3 linked regions of the Astyanax mexicanus genome follow. The protein of the gene in region 3 purifies or fractionates together with the protein of the main gene of each other region. This does not show direct contact. Links are inferred from orthologs where the notes say so. Each region holds a gene or a part of one and is shown on either strand. Other genes may lie near its edges. The genes, in order: lamtor3, map3k1 and map2k1.

The links.
Region 1: the proteins of map2k1 (region 3) and lamtor3 purify together in Homo sapiens (affinity purification with western blotting; 3 studies listed by BioGRID, with this or other methods). This does not show direct contact. The link is inferred for Astyanax mexicanus from reciprocal best matches to the Homo sapiens genes MAP2K1 and LAMTOR3.
Region 2: the proteins of map2k1 (region 3) and map3k1 purify together in Homo sapiens (affinity purification with western blotting; 3 studies listed by BioGRID and IntAct, with this or other methods). This does not show direct contact. The link is inferred for Astyanax mexicanus from reciprocal best matches to the Homo sapiens genes MAP2K1 and MAP3K1.

The regions. Positions count from the first base shown.
Region 1 is NC_064414.1:25,420,760-25,427,964, forward strand, and holds the start of lamtor3 (ragulator complex protein LAMTOR3), read right to left. Parts: upstream 3,068-7,205; 5' UTR 2,932-3,067; intron 2,653-2,931; 5' UTR 2,611-2,652; coding exon 2,602-2,610; intron 2,478-2,601; coding exon 2,443-2,477; intron 1,149-2,442; coding exon 1,090-1,148; intron 991-1,089; coding exon 857-990; intron 728-856; coding exon 664-727; intron 1-663. Other genes in the region: rrh (visual pigment-like receptor peropsin), read left to right, coding at 5,815-5,938. UniProt on the Homo sapiens protein: As part of the Ragulator complex it is involved in amino acid sensing and activation of mTORC1, a signaling complex promoting cell growth in response to growth factors, energy levels, and amino acids.
Region 2 is NC_064427.1:27,155,931-27,163,424, reverse strand, and holds the start of map3k1 (mitogen-activated protein kinase kinase kinase 1), read left to right. Parts: upstream 1-4,399; 5' UTR 4,400-4,443; coding exon 4,444-4,952; intron 4,953-7,494. UniProt on the Homo sapiens protein: Component of a protein kinase signal transduction cascade. Activates the ERK and JNK kinase pathways by phosphorylation of MAP2K1 and MAP2K4. May phosphorylate the MAPK8/JNK1 kinase.
Region 3 is NC_064416.1:23,842,456-23,850,430, forward strand, and holds the start of map2k1 (dual specificity mitogen-activated protein kinase kinase 1), read left to right. Parts: upstream 1-4,913; 5' UTR 4,914-5,215; coding exon 5,216-5,298; intron 5,299-7,975. UniProt on the Homo sapiens protein: Dual specificity protein kinase which acts as an essential component of the MAP kinase signal transduction pathway.

The sequences.
Region 1 (7,205 bases), on a different chromosome or scaffold from region 3:
ATTTTGAGCGGTGCAATGAGGTTTTTTTTTTTTTTTTTTTTTTTGCATCTTCACAATACGAAAGACACAATTAACGAACAAATGCTATGCACGACAATCTGTCTTTCATTGACATTTCATGGGATATCAGAACAGTGTGAATTTTCCTCTTGTTCCAAATAGCAAAAACGTTGTGTTTCATTACATTATACACTGTGAACTCTAACTATTCCTACATTGTAATACAGATGCTGAAACAATATTTATTGTGCAGCCCTGATATTAAGTAATCCCAAGGCTAAAATGATTACATTTCTTGCTTTTATAAAGCTTATAAAGTATAGAATTCTTTAAAAGAGCCTGCAAGAACTGAAGAATGTGGAAGGATTTTTGCTTTTGTGGGATGAGCTGGAATAACCCCAATCTGCCATGGCACCACCCTGCAATTCACATGACTTACAGAATAACACTAACATCCTGGTGCCGGATTCCACAGACACCATGAAGTGTCCCAACAGCATATTTGGCATGTGGTCAGAATGTTCTGGTTCATGTGTGTATTGTAGGCTACATAAAACAATGAACAGCCAACAAAGCTCTTGTTTAAGTCACATCTTCATCTTCAGAATTAGAATTTCCTTCACAAGTCATAAGCATTAAAGATCACCTCTGACAGACACTCACCTGTGTTAGCACTACTACTTGCAATGAAGCTGATCACTAAGGGTAATCGGTTAAACTGCACAATCTAAAAACAAACACAAAAAAGAAAACACAAAATTAAAACATCACTAAGCAACCCAGTAACAACTAGCATCTTAAAAACAGATTAAGAACTTCAAATGAAACCCAACGTTAAGTATTTGGAGCAGAATACCTGATATGTGTTATAGTAGCAGATGATGCTCTTGTTTTTGGACAGCCCCAGCTTGCTGCCCTGATCTGTGGCCAGGGCAAAGGTGGAGAGAAAGCCTGGCCGCAGAGCGTACTCCGGAGCATTGTCATTGGCAACTTAAAGGATGAACACCTACAATTATTACAGACCTAATGCAAGCAGCAGTTTGACACTATATTCAGCATTATTAACAAAGCATTATTGAAACTAATTACCTTTGATTACTGGAACTCCATCTCTGTCTGTTACTACTATTGCATGGAGGCCCTCAACCCTGATCAGAAACAAAAAGTTATTGCATACATTATAGTGTACCTGCACTTAAACATGGTGTCATCAAAGTTTTATGGTGGAACAATATTTAGAGACAAACCATTTGCTCATTTTTTTACATTTTCCCCTCAGTTTAGAAGGTATACTTGTAAAAATACTTATAAAGGGAACATTTTATTAACTTAATTAAATGTTATAGGTCTATAAAAAATTTTTCTACCACTAAACTTTAAAATCTCATTAAAAATAGTTTAAAAAAAAACAAATGTTGAGAATCTACATATCATTACTGTCAGACCAAAACTCAATATTAACATCAAATATCTGGAGGAAAAAAATCCTTTCTATAGAATTAACATAATACATTTTTTATATGTATTTTGTAAGTTTATTCCAAGTTTTTGAAAATTAATATTGATCTGTTCATTGGGGGTGTAAGAAAATACTCTATATATTGCAGTATTGTGATATTTTCTAAAACAAAGTATTGAATTTTAATTATTAGTGTAGATACAAAGATTGGTGGCAGACAATGGTTAATTTAGTCTTGTGCTTAAACCCCACCATCTAGATAACAGTACTATAATGTTTTATTAGATTCCACTGTTCTGATTGAATATTAGCAAAAACAAATATATATATATATATATATATATACATATATATATATATATACTTTTTTTATAATATACAATAGCAGTTAGAAGTTTGGACATACCTTCTCAATTAATGTTTTACTTTATTTCTTTTCTTAACTTTTTTTTCCACCTTGTAGATTCATATTAAAACATGCAAACAAATACAGGACACATGTGGAACTATTTAGTAAACAAAAAACTATTCCAGGTGACTCGCCACTGAGATTAAAATACCAAGAGAGTGCAAATCTGTCATATACGTATAAAACATATTCTGCTTTTTTTTTTTTTTTTTTTACTTTATTGTTTGCAAAATATTTCTGCATGTGTTCCTGTGTAGCTTTGATTCGGTCTTTAAACATTTTATTTACAATGTAAAAAAGAAAAAAAAAAGAAAGAAAACACACTGAAGGAGAAAAGGTGTGTCCAAACTTTTGACAGGAGGTGTATTATCTAGTTTACAGTACATCCATTTATTGTATCCCCTGTATTTCCAACTTCTTGCCAAAACACACTCTTATTGTTAATAATGAAATTCGGAAACACCGATTAAACCAACTGTCAGATTCAGATTCATGTCAGAGTGAAAACTTGAGTTTATTTGCGTGACAGTAACGATATTTTAGTTTGTTCAATCTGGAAAAAAACTGTACTCACGTTGGCAATTGCTTGTATAAATATCTCTTCAAATCCTGCAATTATAAATCAGATATGTTAACGTTAACGTTATCTAAATTACTTTACATATAAGAATCCTATGTTTAGTTTAGACCTCAGACACACAGTATCAGATGAGGAACTGATTTTAACACTCACATCTGCCATGATGGAGATTGCTGGCTACCAGTAGCCTTCTCGCGGTGATCCCTGTAACAACACGCTCAGCAGTAACACAACTGTACAGGAATACAGCTTAGCTAACTGATACCACACTGACAGAAAACTGAAATAAAACAAATATCACACAGAGCAGCTCCTGTGGGTTAGACAGCTAATAGCGCTAACTGGAGTTAATTAAGGTATTTAGCTAAGCTAGCTGCTGCTGTGGGCACTTCCCTAACTTTGTTCAGCTCCGCAGTTAGTCGTACAGGTTAATAAATGTTTCTGTATTAAAGTAAATGGTTAAAACGGGTCTGAGAGCTTCACCTTTATTCACACCGATCTGAGGCTCCGTGTCTTGTTTAGAGTTTTAATCACATGACCCAGACTGTGTACACCTTCCTGAGCGTCACTTCCCTTCCTGCGACCTGCCTCTGTTCACTCCGTGAGCTCAGATTTCCCCCTAGTGGATAGTACATATAATAGCGACATAGAGAGTGTGTGAGAGAGAGAGAGAGAGAGAGAGAGGGCTGGAGAGAGAGAGACCGAGAGAGAGAACGGGGAGAGAGGGGGTAGAGCATACCTGTCAAGTTTTAGATTTAAAAATAAGGGATATTTTCCTCTGTCCGCTTAAAGCCGTCCCACCAGCCCAATGAAGGTTCAGTATCTCTTACATTTTAAAACATGTTTACAAAAAATCTAAAATAACCACATGTGAACCACTTACACACTACAATTAGATTATCAGAATCTGAACATGTTGTGGACATTCCTACATATGTCATTCTTTTAATACAGCCAAATTAAAAACCCTTTTCTATATCTTTTTTTATTTAAGATTTCATGTCTTTTTTGTAATAAATGCACTCTTTTATATGATATATTTTTTATTTATTTAATGGATTTAAAATTGAACAAAGAGTGCACAAATTCTGCAAAATGACTGTTGGTGACCTAAAAATGGTATTATGAGCTTTTACTAAAAGGACATGGACCAGATATGTTCCATCAGTAAAAATTAGTCCTAAGGGGCCTACACAATAATTTTTAATTAATACTTCTTCCTTTTGATCACTCCACCCCTGATTAGTTCAGTTAATGTCGGTCCTCTCCACATTTCTAGTTAAACTGAGTCACAAGCTGTAATTTTTTTTATTTTAAAAGGTTTAATCTGTGTGTTTTATTTCGGAGTATTTTTAAGCAGCTATCAGAAAAATCTCATCACAGTTTCCATGATTAGACAACCGTTACCTTTCTTTTAGAAAAATCGCTGCATGTATGTTTTAACATCAGCAGCTCCAACTAGCTGCCTGAACTCACAGCGAGGAGGGCGGGGCTTCCCCACACTGACCCTCCTTGCAAGCTGATTGGCTGTTTCTCCTGAAAGGCGGGACTTTCTCCTTGAACCGGCTCCACGATTGGTTAAGAGACACAGAGCGGCCAGTGCCCTGTATCCTCAATAATATATATTTTTTTATGTTAATGAAATACGGGAAATTTACGGGAAAATACTAATACGGGAGGACGGCGGGAAAGAGGAGTAAAATACGGTAGAGAGGGGGGGAGAGAGAGATAGAATTTATTCTGTTGTGCTGGCATTAAGACAGCTCCCCTTTTCTAAAAATTAAGTGAAATATGACAAATAATGGGCAGACAGATTTATTTTTTTGTAAAAAATTAGAGATAAAACATTATAATAACATAAGGGAAACAATCATAAATAAATGCACATTAATCACATGAGATCTTCATAATATCATGAATTCTCTTATTATAAACCACTCTGGAAGTTTTTAATAGTGAGCCAAAGTTCATTAAGAGGATCAAAATTGGTTATTGTAAAATTTGTATTTCAATCTTCACAGTGGTTTTAGTGGTCGTATTCATTGCGTTTTTGCGTTTTTATGTACCAAAATTGGTCTAACAAATTTTTATACGCTCATTTTACAACTTAAACGCTAACAGAAAAAAAACTCTCCTGCAGAGTTGTTAGAAACTGAATGAAATTTTTAATGTGTAAATGTAATTTTGTAAATTATTTTAATATTAGAGCAAAAGGGTAATTTAATAGTAGGAAACTACAATTGACAGAATGCCCAAGTACCCATCTGGACCGCCTTTACAGATGATACAAAAACAAGTAAGGTTGGATATAGAGGTGTACAGATTCATCAAGAGTCTGACTGTCATCAGATCCTAAACAAAACCTGGATTTGTTGCTAAAGATGGTTCCAGTCTTAAGCAGTCGAGGTCTCCTTTTTTACAAAACAACTGTAAACAAAGGCATTGGTGGCTGGCTAAGCATTGGCCTAAATGGTGGGCATTTAATCTACACAATTATTTTAGTCTAATGATGCATCCCTTCTCAAAGGATATCAGTTGTGCAAAATGTATTTGAATGTGTTACAGAGGCCTTTCTAGCAGTCAGCTATCTCTCACCAAGAGGTACATTACCCAAATGTAGCCACTGAGAACCTTTTTATAGGGCATGGAAGAAAGCAATTTTACACCCTCTTGTCGCAGGGCTCTTTATAGGCTATACATTATTAACAAAGGCACAGAAAGTTTTACTGGATGTGAGCTCTTTAAGACTAATCTGCAACATTTTCTCACACTGTTAAAACCACCACGTCTGTGAAAGACTTGAAAAATTTGTTTAGAGAGTTTAGACTTGTGGTATACTGTTTTGTGTAGCTCTATAGCTGTCAATATTGTTTTGTGGTGTTGTTGTTTGTGATATTCACAGCTATATAGACTATACAGTTTTCTCCATTCAGGCTGGAATCTTGTTGTTCACTCTCTCTCTGCCGATCTGATGTTTTAAGAATGAAAAGCCCTCATGCGAGGATTATGCCTGAAACAATGAGTTCCTTAGTGTTCACAAACCAGGCAAAGCCTAATCCTCCCCTCAACTTCACCTAGCTGACCACAGTCACTCCACCAATATTAACAATGCATAAACCCCCAAAACCTCTGCCTACTTAACATGCCCCCCATGTTCTCTCTCTCTCTCTGTCTCTCTCTGTCTCTCTCTCTCTCTCTCTCTCTCTCTCTCTCTCATATACACAGAGTTTCCTAAACTCTCTCTTTTTGCAAGTGCAGGAGGAAGGGCTGTGCACGGGATAGGCTGCTCTATGCCGCTGTGTGCTGTGTGTTTTAGGCCGGACTCTAGTGAATGTCAGAGGGACACAGAGCTTGTTTTGTGTGGATATGTGTGAGAAAGAAATGGGGCATGAAATGCTAAACTCATCGTCCGAGGCTGTTAACTATGGTGGAAAAAGTGCCTTCTCGCAAACGGAGCACAACATCGTCGCTGGATACCTCATTACTGCATGTAAATAGTAATTATGTAAACCTTTCGTATTTATTTGTGTATTTTCATGTGTGTGTAATATTTCACGTGCAGTGGTTACTAACATTACTTACAATACAATACTTAAAATTTTTCAGACGACAAAACAAACTTTAATATCAGACAAATATAACCTGAGTAAATCTAAAATATTGATTCCATTTATTACCACACAATCCTGAAGGAGAATGTCCGGCCATCTGTTCGTGACCTCAAGCTCAAACGTACTTGGGATCTGCAGCAGGACAATGATCCAAAGTAAACAAACAAGTCCACCTCTAAATGGCTTTCAAAAAAGCAATATGAAGGTTTTGGTGTGGCCTAGTCAAAGTCTGATTAGCATAATCTTAAACAGGCTGTTCATGCTCGAAAATCCTCCGATGTGGCTGATTAAAACAATTCAGTAAAGAAATATGGGCCAAAATTCAGAAAAACTGAAGAAGGACTTATTGCCATTTATCAGTAGAGCCTAATTGCAGTTGTTGCAGCCAAGGGCGCATAACCACGTTATTAGGTTTAGGGGCAAATACTTACTTCACACAGGGCTAGATTAGTTTGGATAGTTTTTTTTTAAATAAATAAAATGATTATTTAAAAAGTGCTTTTATATTTACTCAGGTCATGTTTGTCTGATATTATAGTTTGTTGGGTAATCGGAAAAATATCAGTTTGACCAAAAAGCAAAAACAAAAGAAATCTGTATTACTTTTACTATGTGTTAGAATGAGCAAAAACTGCAAGAAACAGCAACAGAATTAATGTGTGGGGCATTTTTGGGTCTGGTGTACTGTTTTTTATATGTAAGTCTTCTAAATTCTACTGTATATAAATATTTAGAGTCTGTAAGTAGGCTTTTATTTTAGTTTCTTTCTCTCGTCATTTACACTCCTTATTGATCCACTTACAACTTTGCTCAGTCTGGAAGCAGCATAAAGTAACTGATTTGTGTTATTAGTAGCTATTGAATTATTTCTAAATCATTTATAGTTTGTCCAAAGAATATAACAGTTTTTGATAGTCAAAAATATCTACAGATTAATAATGCCATGTCAAAAGTATTGGGATAGCAATAGGTAAATTGATCATGATATGTTACCTCATGGGACAGCCACACCTGTATGAGTGGTGAGGTGTTATCTCATCTGATCATGGCAAGGCGACCTGAATTTTCAAATGAGACCTAATAGTGAGTACCATATAAATCGGACATTCCACTTCTGAAATGATGTGGTCATTTAACATTCCTCGA
Region 2 (7,494 bases), on a different chromosome or scaffold from region 3:
AAAAAAAAAAAAAAAAAACACGCACACACACCAAAATACAAGTTAAGATAAAATATGAAAACGAACATAATAAAGCATAAATAATTACATTGAATTGCGGGCCAGATGTATGTTTATTTTGTTAACCCGTGAGGGGCCGTATGAAACCGCGTCGCGGGCCGCATGTGGCCCGCGGGCCGCTACTTTGAGACCCCTGATCTAGACTGTATCGAGATAGATTTTTGATAGTCTGGACAGCAAAAAAAAAAAAACATATTGAATCTTAATTTAAGCAAATCTTAAATCTAAAGGAGGTCTGAAATGTGATTACAATCAGATCTGTACAGATGCGTCTCAGTCTGAATGCTCTGGTTTCTCAAAAAGTACTTGTGAAAACAGTTCAAAAGAAAAATAAGACACTGTTGTATAATTATAGAAAATAGAATCACTGATCCGTGCTGAATATTCGTTTTGAACCCACTCCAGCATTTAATGTAAACTTGCCTACTTCAATTGACGTGATTCCACAAAAGCTCTGAACTCAGCTGAAGTTAAAAGTGGACGGCGCTGAGCTGAAGAGCTGAGGCGAGCTGAGATGACAGAAGAGAGAGCACAAATAGTTTGTGGAGCGTTCCACGTGAGCAGGAAATGCAGGAGCTGCAGAGGAAGCCCTACTGGCTAAGAATAGCTCTCAGTGATAGATTGGATCCACGTTGACAGGAAATGGTTTTTGCTGGCCGCCCAGTACCTAAAGCTCCAATGCAGCTCTTTTTAACTTTACCAGCTCTGGAAAACAAAGTGGAGATGCCTCGCTGGACATTTAAGGATAAAAGTACGCCTGAGAAAAACTGAGACTGAGACTGAAGTGACTGCAGGTGCCAAAATTTTATATTGTCAAAACAATATCTCCAATGTTTGCCAATTTTTCACTTTTTGTCATAACCTGCCAACCTGACATTATTCTTAATGCTGGGTGAAAAAATTATACTGAATGGGTCAAAAGAAATGCTCCAAACAGAGTTGGGCTCAGATTCTTTTACGCTGACTATTCTTGAAAGTTCATATTTTGGAGATACAAGATTATTACATAATGTAAAAAGGGTTTTTAGGAAAAGTAAGTTTGTTATAAAATTTTAATAGATAGTAATATTTCACATAGCACATTTTGGGACAGTTTTCCCAAAAAAAAAGTATTATTCTAAAACCTAGTCTTAGACTACACAGCCATTTCCAGTGGAGATTTACCAGTGAAAGAAAAAGAAAGTCTATGACTAGGTTTTAATCTCTGTGGAAAATAAAAACAATGTAAAAAGCACATTGCAGACAGCTGCTATTATATCCCTGATCATTTCAAATTATAACTTTCTGTTATCTAACTTTTAGAAGCTATGTGGATGGTGTGGTGCAGTGGATAACACCACCCCCTGTCAGTGAGCTACTACATTATGTGGGAGACTGGGGTTCAATTCATATACTGCTCTACACTAATAAGAGTCTTGGGGCAGACTACTAATGCTACATTGACCCACTTCTGTAATAGAAATAACCTTGTAAGTCACACTGGATGACAGCGTCAGCAAAATGCCGTAAATGTAGAAGCATTAAACTCTGCAGACATCTGTGGACAACTTTCTCTATAAAGAGACATTTTACCCCAAACCTCTTAGAATAACTTTGTCTTCATTTGTCATTTAATTCCAAAGAGATTTTAGAAACTGGTATAGTTCCCCTATCAAACTGGCTAAAATCAGATTACTACTAAAATAATATCTTGGCTCATTTTGTTCATATACTGTGCTGGTCCCCTAAGAGAAAACAGAGCTTAATGAATTATCTTTTTATAATAAAACTGTGATACGTAATCCCTCATTTGTCCACTAATAAAATAGGTTAATTCCTTTCAGATGCTAAAATCTGGTTTGTTTCTGGGGCACTAAAGGCCCTTACATAACCTGGAAGACGGAAACAACACAAAAGACAGATTTATTCAGAAGAACATGTAATTTGTAGGTTCACAAAGCCATCACTCTTCCCAGGCCACCGACTGGCCCAGAAAACCGGCACACAATGAACCACACACAGACACACAGCCAATAATTTCTCAGCTGTTATGAGGTAAAAGGAAATAATTAACTATGATGTTATTTTGATATGAAGGCATTAGCTTCACTTTTCAAACAGCCATGATGTGATGTTATGAATTTACCCATATTAGCTTTACCGTCCAATGTCAAGCAGCCACATTCACACCAGTGAGAGCTAGCTTAAAGGGTTTTAAAAGTAGGATTTTTTATAGATACAGATAAATCCATAATAAAAGTCACACAAACCTATTTCAAATTACATGCAAAGATTATATAGCATATTTTGTTAATAGATTTTACTTCTAAATCTTCTTTAATAACCCAAACCAGATAGCAACATTTTATTGAATGACATTTTTTCATTTCTAACATGAAAACAATGTTGATCTCCGACATCAGAATTTAATTATTATAATACATTAATTTGATGTTGACTTCAATTTGATTAAATTTAATATTATTTGTGTTAAACTTTACTTACATTAAATTAAAAGGAAATTGTTTTTGCTGGCCGCCCAGTAACACAAGCTCCAATGCAGCTCTTTTTAACTTTTTTCTTAAGTGAAGATGCCTTGCTGGAGGCATTTGTGAATAAAAGTTTGGCAGAGAGAAACTTATAGTGTAACACAAACCTGAGATTCAATTCACTGCAGGTGCCATGATTTGATATACAATTTTTATCAATTTTTGCCAATCTGACGTTATTCTTAGTGCTGTGTAAAAACTTCTTAAAAAATAAGTATTGTTTAATTTAGTATTGTTTGTATGAAACTTAACTCACATTAAATATATACTGCATATCTTCTTTGTATTATATTCTTATGGCCTTAACTGTGTTCTTGTAATGGAGATTTAAGTGTAGAAAAGGCCCAAACAATGAAAACCTTTTAGATGAACATTAATTACTCAACAATATAAATAAACTGTAAGTGAAATATTTGAGTGAAATAAAGGAGCTGGTGAATTTAAAGGCAGTGCTGCTAACTATTCAGTAGTGTTAAGTCAATGACAGTCCCCGTGTTGAATGAACGCTCCGCGTGAGAATGTGATAGTTCTCACGCTGATCCGACTCTGAACGAATCTTTTTAAACGATTCTTTTACCTAAATCAGTCGAACTAACTCCCAAATCAAGCAAACTTTAACCATAACATACACACAAGTCCTGTTCTATACGAAAAGCTTAAAATAATTCTTCAACAAAAAGCATTAATCACTTCAAAAACTTACAAAAATATCTAAATAATGATATACAACCCCATACACCAAAAAGACATTTTTAAATTATATCATATGACAAAATATTCATATATTAAACTTTTATCAGCAGCTTTTGCATAATTATTTTTATTTTTTATTTTTGGGGTATAACATCCACATTGTCTTATATGTTACACTACACTAGTTTTATTGCATTTTAAATGAAGATCACATGGTATCTACAGTATATAGTGTAGTTAGACAATAATACTAAAATTGGAAAACATGTTTGTTTAAAAGTTAATAAATAAAACAGAAGTCAATAGTGGTGGTACATTTAATGTTTTTTTTTATAGAATGATAGTTTTTATGTATTGCTTTGTAAATTGTAATTGAGTCAAAAAATAATAATAATCAAAAAACATAATCAAAAAGTAGTCATCAAAAATTGACTTTAATAATAATAATTATTATTATTATTATTATTATTATTATTATTGTTGTTATTATTAATATGGTTTGTTTGTTTGTTTAAAGTAGAAATCCGGTGTGAAATGGACTTGGGGTGTAGTGAAATGTGATAACGAATACTATTTTTAAATTTTTTTTTGGCCCGCCACCACCCCTCTCACTTTATTTCACTCTGCAACAATGCATTATTCTTAAGGGAGGACATATATTAATATAGAGAGAGAAGGAAAAAGGGAGAAAAAAAATCAATAGCCCTCCTTCGTCACCCACAGCATTTCCAACAGCCTTACAATGATAGTGATAGGGACACGGTTTCCGTGGAAAAGTACAAAATAATAAAAGTATATATATAAATAAAATTTAAAAAGCTAGTTGCAGCCTTGCAAATAGTAACAAGTCTTTTCAGAGTCTTTTCAAAGCCATATAGTGTATGGTCAGCATTAGAAGTTTACTTTGTAAACTGGGCAATTGTTGGGAATCGGTTCGTTAAATATAAGTGAACCTGCTCCTGTCAGTTTAGTTGCAGGTGAGTTGGAGTGATTCGATTCACTCTGAGGAGTCGGTTCGCTCGGATGAATCGAACTCTCCATCACTATGTAAACAGAGCGGAGTGCCTGCCCTCGCTCCGCCCCGCTTCCCGCGTGCCCCCCCTCCCCTCTCTCCACTCACTCACCACACAAACCTATTAAGTGGCAAAATTCAGCACAGAAAATGGCGACGGCGGGGAGCCGGACCTCGTCGTCAGGACCGTTGGACTCGAGCGGCGGTTTAGACGCGGGGAACTCTCCGCGTGGAAGCTCCAGCGTGCCCGGTCTCCCGAGCGGTGCCGCCGGCAAGGCGAAGCGAAGCGCGGCGGAGAGTTCGCAATGGAGACGTAAAGAACTGCGGAAAGTGCGGAGCGTGGATCTGGACGGGTCCGAGTCGCTGCTGCTGGCTTCCGAGAGCGGGGCAGCTCCCTCAGCCGCGGCGGCGCAGCTCCACTTCTTATCCGCGTCCTCTCCCGGCGCAGTGCAGGCGACTCTCCTGCAGCAGAGCCACCGCGTCCAGCACAGCAGCAGCAGCTCCCTGACTGAACACCCGCTCCTCGATAAGCAGAGCAGCGGCGGCAGTCTGGCCGCAGCCGCGCAGGAATTGCTTAAAACTTCTTTCAGAAGCAGCAGCGACCAACTCTGCGCTGATAATGCTGCAGCCGGAGCTCCAGGAGAACTGAACCAGCAGAGGTAAGAAAGATTCAAGGCTGATAATGAGCATTTTTGGGGCTGATAAGGAGATTTTTTACTCCAGTACTGTCTCTCTGCCGCTGCGATTCACCTGGATAATGTGTCTGTAAAACTTGTATAAACTGTAAAGTAGCTCTAAGAAGTTCTCAGAAACTCCAGCTCGTTGTTCTACTGAAGTCAGACTCTGAGTTCGAAACTGGGGCTGAACAATCTGTATGATATGTGATCGATATTAGTCCTGTCACGATAAGATTATTATGTGGACGATATATCGTCCCAGAAACTTTTGCCTTATTTTATATATTTGCCATTTAAGAACATTTAATACTGCAGACATAACCATAAATCAAAATTTAAAGCAATTACACACTTTTTCTAAGTTGGCAGAAATTAAATTAATTATAGTTTATTAAAAATGCAGCTCTGGAAAAAATGGAAAAGAGACCACTTTAGTTTGGCTTGTGATCATCCATCTTCTTCTTAATTCCTTTTCAATTTGGTAAAATCAAAGAAACTTATGATTTAAGTTGTCTCTTATTTTTCTCCAGACCTGTATATACTTTTTTTCTTCACCTTCTGCAGCCTGCCCACACTGTGTGTATGGAGTTGTAGTTATGGAAGCATTGGTCTTGTATATCATGCCTGTCTAAAATACTGTTCATTTTATATATGTGAACAAACATACAAATAAACAGCTAAATAAACATATGTTAATTTCCATTTGTTGTACAATAAGTCGATAATGTACTTATCGTGGCAGGCCTAGACGATATTGATCTTTCATCACTGTGTACTTTTCTGAGCATCCTGTAGATATAGCTGTGATATAAGTGTTGGTACAGAGTTTTAATTACAAATCCTCTCTTATTGCACCGTGATTTGGGGTGTGTGATGTATCACCCTAAACTAATATCACAATATTTCTGTTTTTGTGATAACAATATTTTTTGATACTACAAAATACTACTCCAACAAAATAAATGTATATAAATAAATGCATAAATAAATTTTAACATAAAAATAATGTAATGTAGCCAAAAAACTGTACCAAAATACTAAGTGCAGTTATACAAAAAGTACCCTTTAAGCTTAACAGTCAATAAAAGACTGCTTGAATTACAATATTGACAAACTATCATCAGTGTTTGTCAGATCAGTACTGTTTAATTGGTTTGGGTACAGCACGTTTTGATTTAGGATAACAATTTTCAAAAGCAGTTGCTGAGAATCTGCCTCATGTATTTTTGTCTGTGTCAAAATATCACAGCAAATATTGTGATTATAATATTCATATTTATCTAGCTGCATCTCATTTGTTTTTATGTTCGGTTTGATGCTCATCCAAAGTGTCCTATTAATTATTAATCCATAGCATAATTTATTGCAGAACTAATGCTGTTTTCCCATCATATGAAATTAGACCTATTTATTAGAATACTACTCATATGCATATTATGGAGCATTATTGATCTGCATTTCTTTTACATATTGTATTTGCTGCATGGGTTGTATTGACGTGGTTGGGTGTTATACTTTTCTCTTTTTCAGTTTTTATTTTGTACCATAAAACTGGGTTGTTTTTTGCTGAGCATCCTGCTCCAATCAGAATCACTAAATCCGTGTCGCCCACCTGCTGAGGTGGGCCCCCAGATGTTATCAGCTTAGTAGAGTTGCGCAGTTTTTGATGTGAGGGGTGAACAGCTTTAAATCTTTCTGATCTGTCTCCCAATATTAAACCACAAAGATGAGGATAATATCATCCAAACATGCATTTATGTGTTTAAGCATTAAAAGCCTTTAATTTATCAGACTGGACGGCTTTGATTTACATTAGCAGCGATTTCGGTGTTTCGTGGTTCAGCTTTGGTAGGCACTCCAATGTTGCATTTAATTCAGGAATCGTTTTACTGCTGTAAGTATAGGCCTGTGTATTACTCTGTCGTGGCTGGAGGTCTGCTTTTTACGTCCATTAAGTTACATTGAATATGATAAATATATATTGCCCTATTAGAATTGCCCAGGTGATCCAGCAGGAGTGCTTAAGACAATATTAACTCTGGCACAGCCTACACAATGGCTCTTAAACTAAACCCAACACTTCTCCAGACCATGTGTATATGTACTCTGTCACTTTTCCCATAAACAAACTTGCCTTAATATGACCTTGGGTTGTTTCCTAGACAGGAATTGAACCTAGTCCTGGACCACATATCTATTTTAATAAAGAATATTCTCATTCACAATGCCAAGCCATAAAAAAAGCCACAAAAATGAGATTTGTGGTTTGATCAGTGTTTTTTTTCCCCCCATCTTTAATTGTTATCCACTTCAGCACAACACAAAGTGATGCAGGCACCTTATTTTCACTGTTGGGAGCTTGTTTACTCAAGGTTGCCTAAATGATTGCCCCCCTGCTGGCTTTTTCCCTTAAAAGGAAAAGCTGATGGTAAACATTGATGAAGTGGAGCTCAGAGATCTGGAAGTGCCCTCATGTCAGAAAGTGGCATGTCTGTACAGTTGCGTGACATGTTGTTATGTACAT
Region 3 (7,975 bases):
TTAGCACACCTCCCACACTGCCAAAAGTACTCATCCTGTGCAACAGAGGTAACTCCTGGCTTTTTTTTTTGATGCATTGCTGACACAGATGTGCAAACACACATGTATCAGTGAAAAGGAGCGGTGCATTTGGGTGCACTTTGAGAACTAGTGGACACAGATATCTGATTTTCAAGTAAATATCACTACCCAGACTATCACTAAAATAGTATATGTATATAAAACAATATTAGCTATAGTATTGAAAGAATGACCTCTGTAAACGTACCTCAGAATGTATTACAGTCATTTACCCACCATGGGCAATACAGGTAGGGGCTTTATATTCCCTGTTTTCGAACTACACAAAGCTGATACACTAGCCTTGTAAGAAGAGATATCAAGTCAAAATTCAACCCACAGAGATCACTGATGCAATATCAAATGCTGTGCTAAAACCAATAAAATGTAGCTATGTAGCGTTACATAAAGGTTCTTTGCATTCAACAGTACAATAAATATATAATTGAATCTCAACCACCTAGGGATGTATGATCATGTCTAAATGATATCAATCATTATCAACAAACACATTTTCAAAAATGTATCTGCATCTCTATTTTATAAATATTTATGCATCAGAATCAATTAGTATCTGCACTAGCACCTGTGTGTCAAAGTGTGTATAGGAGAAGCATAATCCTTCTTAAGCCACATTGTTTCTGCACTTATTGACTATGAAAATCTTTTTTGCATGCAATGATTGACACTTAAAGGGAAAATCAGAATAAAAAGTAGGCCTAGTGATGCTTCTGTATTGATTTTTTTCCTCTATGCTACAGTAGAAATCACCCAGTAATCTGTAAACCACCTCTCAAATAAGGGGGTTATTATTTATTTACATACACTGATCAAGCATAACTTTAACACCACCTGTCTAATACTGTGTAGGTCATGCTTCTGGCACCAGAACACCTATGACCAGTAAAGGACTCCACAAGGCCTATGAGGATGTCCTGTGGTATCTGGTACCCAGATATTAGCAGGAGATCATTTAAATCCAGTTTAAATCCAGCTGCAAGGTTAGACCTCCATAGATCACATCAGTCTTATGCAATCAAGACTCTGTTACCAGTTCATTGAATGACCTTCCTATAAGCACTTGTCTGTACTGTTGTGGAAATACTCTTGCCCATCCATCTGGCCATCATAATTTCCATCTTGTCAAGGTTGCTGAGATACTTCAATTTCAAGAACTGATGGTTCACTTGCTATCTAATACAGGGTTTCTCAACCTGTGGGCAGAGGACAACCAGTGGGCTATGAAACACTCTCTAGTGGCCTGCAGGTCTATACTCAGGGGGAGACAGTAGTTCTTAGTAAGCCAGTGACAGCAATTTTAATCATAAAAAGTATTTTTTGGATAAAATCATTTAGTATACATATAAAACCAAGAGCCATAAGGAACATTAAACATCATTAATTTGAGGCAGTGTGTGAACCTGATTTAGACATGATTTTTTTTTTTACATGATAAAAAATATGTTTTCTTGTGTGTCGTTATGCCATAACATTATTACCAGATAGTCCACTCTTAGAAAAGGTCTAATATAAACTGATATGCCAAATATCATGGCATACCAGTATGTAAATTGATCACAATGTGTTACCTCATTTAGCAGCTTGGGAACACCTACACCTGTATAAGTTGTGAGGTGTTATCTGAGAAGTAAAGTTAAACCCCGCCAGCATGCTCATGGCAAGGTGATGTGAATTATATATTCACATCTGAGGGAACTCTGATAACGATGTGTGTACCAGGAATATGTCATAAGAGGCATTCTCACCCACAGTGGACAGCGCAGTGGTGGTAATGATTGTGACCCGCAGTGTCTGGCTATAATTTTCCAAGTGAACAACTAAGGCTAACATCCATCACATCCACATTCAATGCAGGAGGCTGAATACATACAGTATATTCCATACATCCGTGCAGCATTCTTTAGTTCCTACTGAACATGACAAAACACATGGAACACAGCATTTGTTCCTGTCCCATGACATATGGTTCATCTTTTGTAAGGTGCCACTGTAAGCAGATAATCATATAATTGTATTCACTTCACCAGTCAGTGCTTTTAACGTTATTAAGCCTATTAGTCTATCTGCAAATGCAGATCCTGATACCTTAATTGACCTTTCAATTGAACAACATAACCATGGCATTTGATTGGTCAGTGTCCAAATACAGATAAATGAGGATAAAGCATTGTTGGGCTGCTTTGAGGAAACAATGAGTAAAAAGGCCTATTATCTATTCTTCCACTTAACATGTGATGAATAAATGCAAGCAAATGCTGTGCCATACTGCCAACGTGCGTGCCAGGGCCTTGCACATCCATAAAAAAAGCTTCATTATGCACATCTGCTGCACAAACCTGCCTGCACAACACCGCCAATGCAGAAACACTGATCCAATCCTGAACTTCCTTTAAAACATCGCTCACTCAGACAAGAACAAGAGCTACCTTTCATAAAACACAGGCTCATATTAGTCTATAAACAACATGTGTTTGCTCACATGATGCATCATTAATCTGACAGCATCTCATTTGTATAAGATCAGATGCATCTCAGTGGGATAGTGCTTGTGTCTGTCTATGCAAATCCAGCAATTATCCAACTCTGCTCCCAGTGGCACCATGCGGTGGGGGGTTCTCACAATCTGCTGAGTAAACCTTTCTCCTCTGTAGGACTGTCCAGCAACTTTTAACTGATATATTAAACTTGCACCAGTACTGACACTGCAGTGATATAGTGTTGCTTTATGTGAATCATTTCAGACAGCTAGCATCTCTTTTAGGCCTACCATCATATGTGAACAGAGTTTTTCAGTGATTAATGACTTTGAGCTGGCATTTATAAGAAATGCCGTTCCACATGACACCCGCAGAAGTTGTATGAAACCATCGCACAGGTGATCCAACTACTTAGTGGGTCCCGTCGGTAGGAGTCATGTTTGTGTATGTGACTGCCATAGACATCAGTACATTTAACTCACCACTGATGCCATCACAGGATTGTCACACAAGCAGCTGCCTTTTGCTGCTTTAAGCAGGAATCGAACCCACAACCTACTGGTTCAGAGTCCCCAGCCTTACACACTATGCCACCAGAAACATGTGAGAGAAGCACCAGTAGAACAGCAGGCCATTAAACACCCTATTAACACATACTTAAGTATGTAGAGATGGAATTCTCATTAGCATCAATGAAGAGATATTTATTATACAGTAAATGCCTTCTTTAAAATACTTCTGAAATGATAGATACAAACTCTGTAAGCTGATAGGTGTGACCTGGTATAGATAGTTAAATATAATTATTTGTGTAATTTGTCCCAAACATTAAAGGAATGGTTCACAAAGAAATCTAATTTACATAACTTTCTGTTTATAGTACCAGTCAAAAGTTTAGATACGCCTTCTCTCTCAAAGTTTTGCTTTATTTCTGTTTTTTTTTTGTTGTTTTTGTTTTTTTCTACATTGTAGATTAGAATTAAATGCAGGACAATAATTAAGGGACACAAATAAAGTTACACAGTTAAGAAAAAAGTGTTTGGCCTCCACAATCCTCTGATCTAAACCAACTGAGATGGGAGATTTAGTTGAGCTGGACCACAGTGTGAGACAAAAACAGCAGAATCTAAAGTACAGAACATTCTCTGGTTTGTTTTCCATGTTTTTGTGTTTTAAGTTACTGTATAGCTTTAATTTCTTTAATATGAGATTTAAAATGTAAAAAAAAAAAATAAGAAAACACATTAAATGAGAAGAATTGTGTTTAAATTTTTGACTGAAACTGTACATCATAGTTAATCAGCCATAAGGTGTATGAAGATTGCTTCTTTATACAACATTCTTCTTATTTTTTCATCACTGGAACATCATTTAGGTCTAAAATGATTAAAATGTGCAGGATGTTTTTGGGGAAAATTGCCCAAAATGATTTTTTATTTATACATAAATTATACATGTGATGCAAATCACAATAAAGTCTCCTGTAATTGTATATTTTTTACTGGACTTTACATTACTATTGAAATCCTTTAGAACTACTAAGAATAAGAAATGTCTAAAAACTGTAATATTTTCTGAGGAGCTTTTTAAAGTTTTTTTAGTTCTTTATCTTTAGGATTCTTTCTTTCTTTCTTTTTTCTTTCTTTCTTTCTTTCTTTCTTTTCTCTCTAATGCACATTTTCATGCTGTATTCTATTGTGGTTTCTTTGTATTAACTTGAAACTGTAAAGAATATTAATCCTTTCAGACACTGCATCAATTGCAATGGACATGGTGTGCTTTCTTTTTTCTTGTGTATTCTATTATCCTATTAATCTTCAGGATATACATTTATTAGCCAATCAAACAGCAGACTGCATTGGAATACTAAAATTCTGCCAACTGAAGTAAAGCAGGGTAGCATCCCAGCTAACGTGGCAGAGAAAACACAGTTGCTGCAATTTTTTACAGTTTAGAAATATACACACATCCACAATATCTACACACATTTGAATATATATATATATATATATATATATATATATATATATATATATATATATAAACGATATATATATATATATATATATATATAAACGATATAAAATACAAATATTATGTTTGATACATATTATATATTAGTTTATTATTTAGTGTATTGTTATTTTTAATTGAATCCTGTTTTTGAGTGCATAGCATTCTTTTATTTTTTTATCACTAGGTCTAAAAGGGTTAAAAAAAACCCAAAAGTTAAAAAGGAGATATTTGTGCTAGTTTTTTCTTCCAGCAGGTGGAGACATTGCCCAGCATTAAGCCACGCTCTCCGGAAGACAGATGTAAATATTTTCGTGACGCAACCAGCCCATCTCCACAGTCATATATCCACCCATATCAGTGCGGTATTGGTGTATATTGTGTTTCTGTCTGTACAGGGGGCTGAGCAGTGCTGTGCTAGTCGCCGAGGAGAGCGCGTGCCTGTTTTAATAGTCTACTTTATTTATCTCGTGTTGTCGTGTTTGTGTGCATTTTTCTCAGACAGCCACTGGGTGTGATTAGCTGTATATATACCCTATGCATCAGACCGCTCTCTCTACAGCAGCACGCGGGTATTTCTGCGGATCAGCCTTCTTCCCTTGATTTATTTCTGATTGCTAAACTGCAAGACATCAAGAGTCGTAATGCAGAAACGAAGGAAGCCAGAACCGATCCAGCTCAACCCAATTCCTGATGGGAACGCCGTTAACGGAACCGGTGCCTCGGAGTGAGTATGGTCTGGTCTGGTTCAGAAGCTTAACCCTAACAGGAAAACCAACTAAATGATGCTCCTTCAGTAAGATACATGGTTTAATACTATAATTACTGGGGATGACACTGGCTGATCATCAGGCTGTGTTATACAATACAGTGGTATTCTGTGTAGTGGAAAAGGAACAATACTGTTTCATACTCTTCTGTTTTGATCATAGGCTCATATTGTTTTTCTCTTTTTAAAAAAGTTATAAAAGGTTTTATAATAATGCTTATTTCCTCTGAGAAAGTGTAAATACAGTGTATATTTAAAAGCCTTGCAAGCTAGACAGCTAGGCTTTAAGGACACTAGGACAGTGTTATGAAAACACTTTCATTGTTATATTCTTTTACTAAAAGGCCTGCCAATGCAGTACTGTTTTAGACTGTGTACCTGGCACTTTAAAAATGACAATTTAAAAATGGTGCATCAAACTGCAGTAAACAAACGAGACAACATAAGCAATGGGTATTTTAAAGTGAATTAATGAAAGTTCAGGTTAGCTCAGAGTTAGAGTATCAGAAATGCTTGTTGGCACACAAATAGGAACTATTTCTTTCTTTGTTCATGTGTTTACAATGACAGCCACACATAATTGCATCAGTATTTACAGACACTTTCAAAATACACAGTAGTTATTGTGATACTCATAATTGCAGACAATGACTAAAAATCAGTAATTGCAGAATCTTAAAAAAAACATGATTTTAAATTTTCTCAAATGCGTTTTACAACCACTAAGGATATCCTCAATATACTCTATATTGTGAAAGTACATAATGTATAAGGATAAAAAGAAAGAATACACACAACTTGGTGACTGTCTGGCAAATAAAACTAGGAGTGAATAGGAGAAAGGGATGAGAAACAAACAACAAATAAACAAGTGCTTCCGTTCTGTTGGATATGATATATGGTGAAACCCTAGGAGTGAAATAATAGTAAGACGAAGAATAAAACTGTAAATAAGGTTATATATACAGATAATATATACAGTGTTGAACCAATGCACACAGTGCTCATTCATGTCCAAATAGACTTAAGAGCAAATTGATTGGGAATAAGTTGTTGTTGTTGCATAATTTTACTAAGAATCAGATGACATCCCTAAAAACAGAAGGGGGAGGTTTGCTCTCCACACAGAGAGCCCTTATCACAGTGGGCCAGAGTGGCCAACACACAGTAATGATTCCTCCATCAAATAACCTGTCCAGTCTTTCTCGCCCCCTCACAGCCATAAGTTAGGTAAACAGATTTTGTTTCTAGTTGTTTCCATGTGAGCGTGACTGTGTGTAGTGATAGGAAAGCACGGCTCAATCTATCATTAGGTAATATGAGGGCAGAGGATGTCCAGAACCTTAGGAACCCAAGTCTTAAGAACTCCGGGAACAAATGGAGAGGCTGATCGGTTTTGACAGCATGCTCCACTTCTTGAAGCTTGAGTGCAATCGTCTCATTTCACGTTGTTAAGCAATCACGGTGGATCATTTACAGCAGCAGCAGCTATCACCATTAACAAACAAAGCCCTGCTCCCAGTGCCCGGTGCTGGCCTCTTTGTTTAGAGGCTGTCTGGAGATGCTGAGGGCTGCCGTGTCTGTCTGCAGCTTCATGTGGCAGGCCTGTGGTCCTGTTCCTCTCTCTCTCTCTCTGAGCCAAGAGCCAATCACAGCGCTGGCGGCCTGGACTCAGTGGTCCGTGTCATTGCCTCTTGTTTCACCGGCGCTCCGGGGCCCAGACACTTCTCTTTCACTCTTATGCTTTGGCCTTGAGAGACCATTACTGATTCAGAGGTGCGGGAAGAGGTACAGAGGCGTTCTATTTTACACATGGCACTGCATTGATTCAAGCCTCTTTTCAAAGTGTTGGAAATGATTGTGTAGGAGGACATAATGTTTCAGCTGACTTTATTTTCTCCTACTGCAGTACAGTATGTTCACAGATTGTAGACTAGTGGTTACAGGTTACACAATCAGGTTATGCCAGTTCTTTTGGCAACTCAAAATATATTTAGTGAAAGTTTTGCACAATTCAGTTATAAAGACGTCATCATATGAGCCATTCAGAGAGGTAGATTATATACTTTATCCTTTTCCACACTCTTCTTCAGTGGTCAGGACCCAGTCCCACAGGACCACCACAAAGCAGTGGTCATTTGGGTGGTGGGTCATTCTTAGCACTGTAGTGACACTGACATGGTGCTGGTATGAGTGGATAAGGCACAGTTGTGCTGCTGGGCTGAAAATAGTCAATATTCCACAAATATCCAACCAAGAGTGTCTTGTGGGCCGTTAAGAAGGACTGTTTTTACACAGTGATAAAAACTTCCAGCAGCACTGACGGTGCTGAACTGCTCTTCTACTATAACAACAGACTGCTTGGGTTGCCTACAGAGCTATAAGTCTAATAGTAAAAAAGCTTTATTTATTTATATGATATATCAGGTTCTTAAAGAGCTCTTCCCCTTGTAACTCAGTGGAAGGGGTCCAATTAGAAAAGGGATTGGGCCAAAGGGTTTGCTCTTCTCTGTACCTGAGGAACACTGTCTAAGTTCAAAATCCCCAAAGAGACAACACACTTTCTGCTGGCTTTAAGTGAAGTATTAGCATCTTTATATGAAACAGTAGGGACTCTGAATGGTGTAGGTGACTT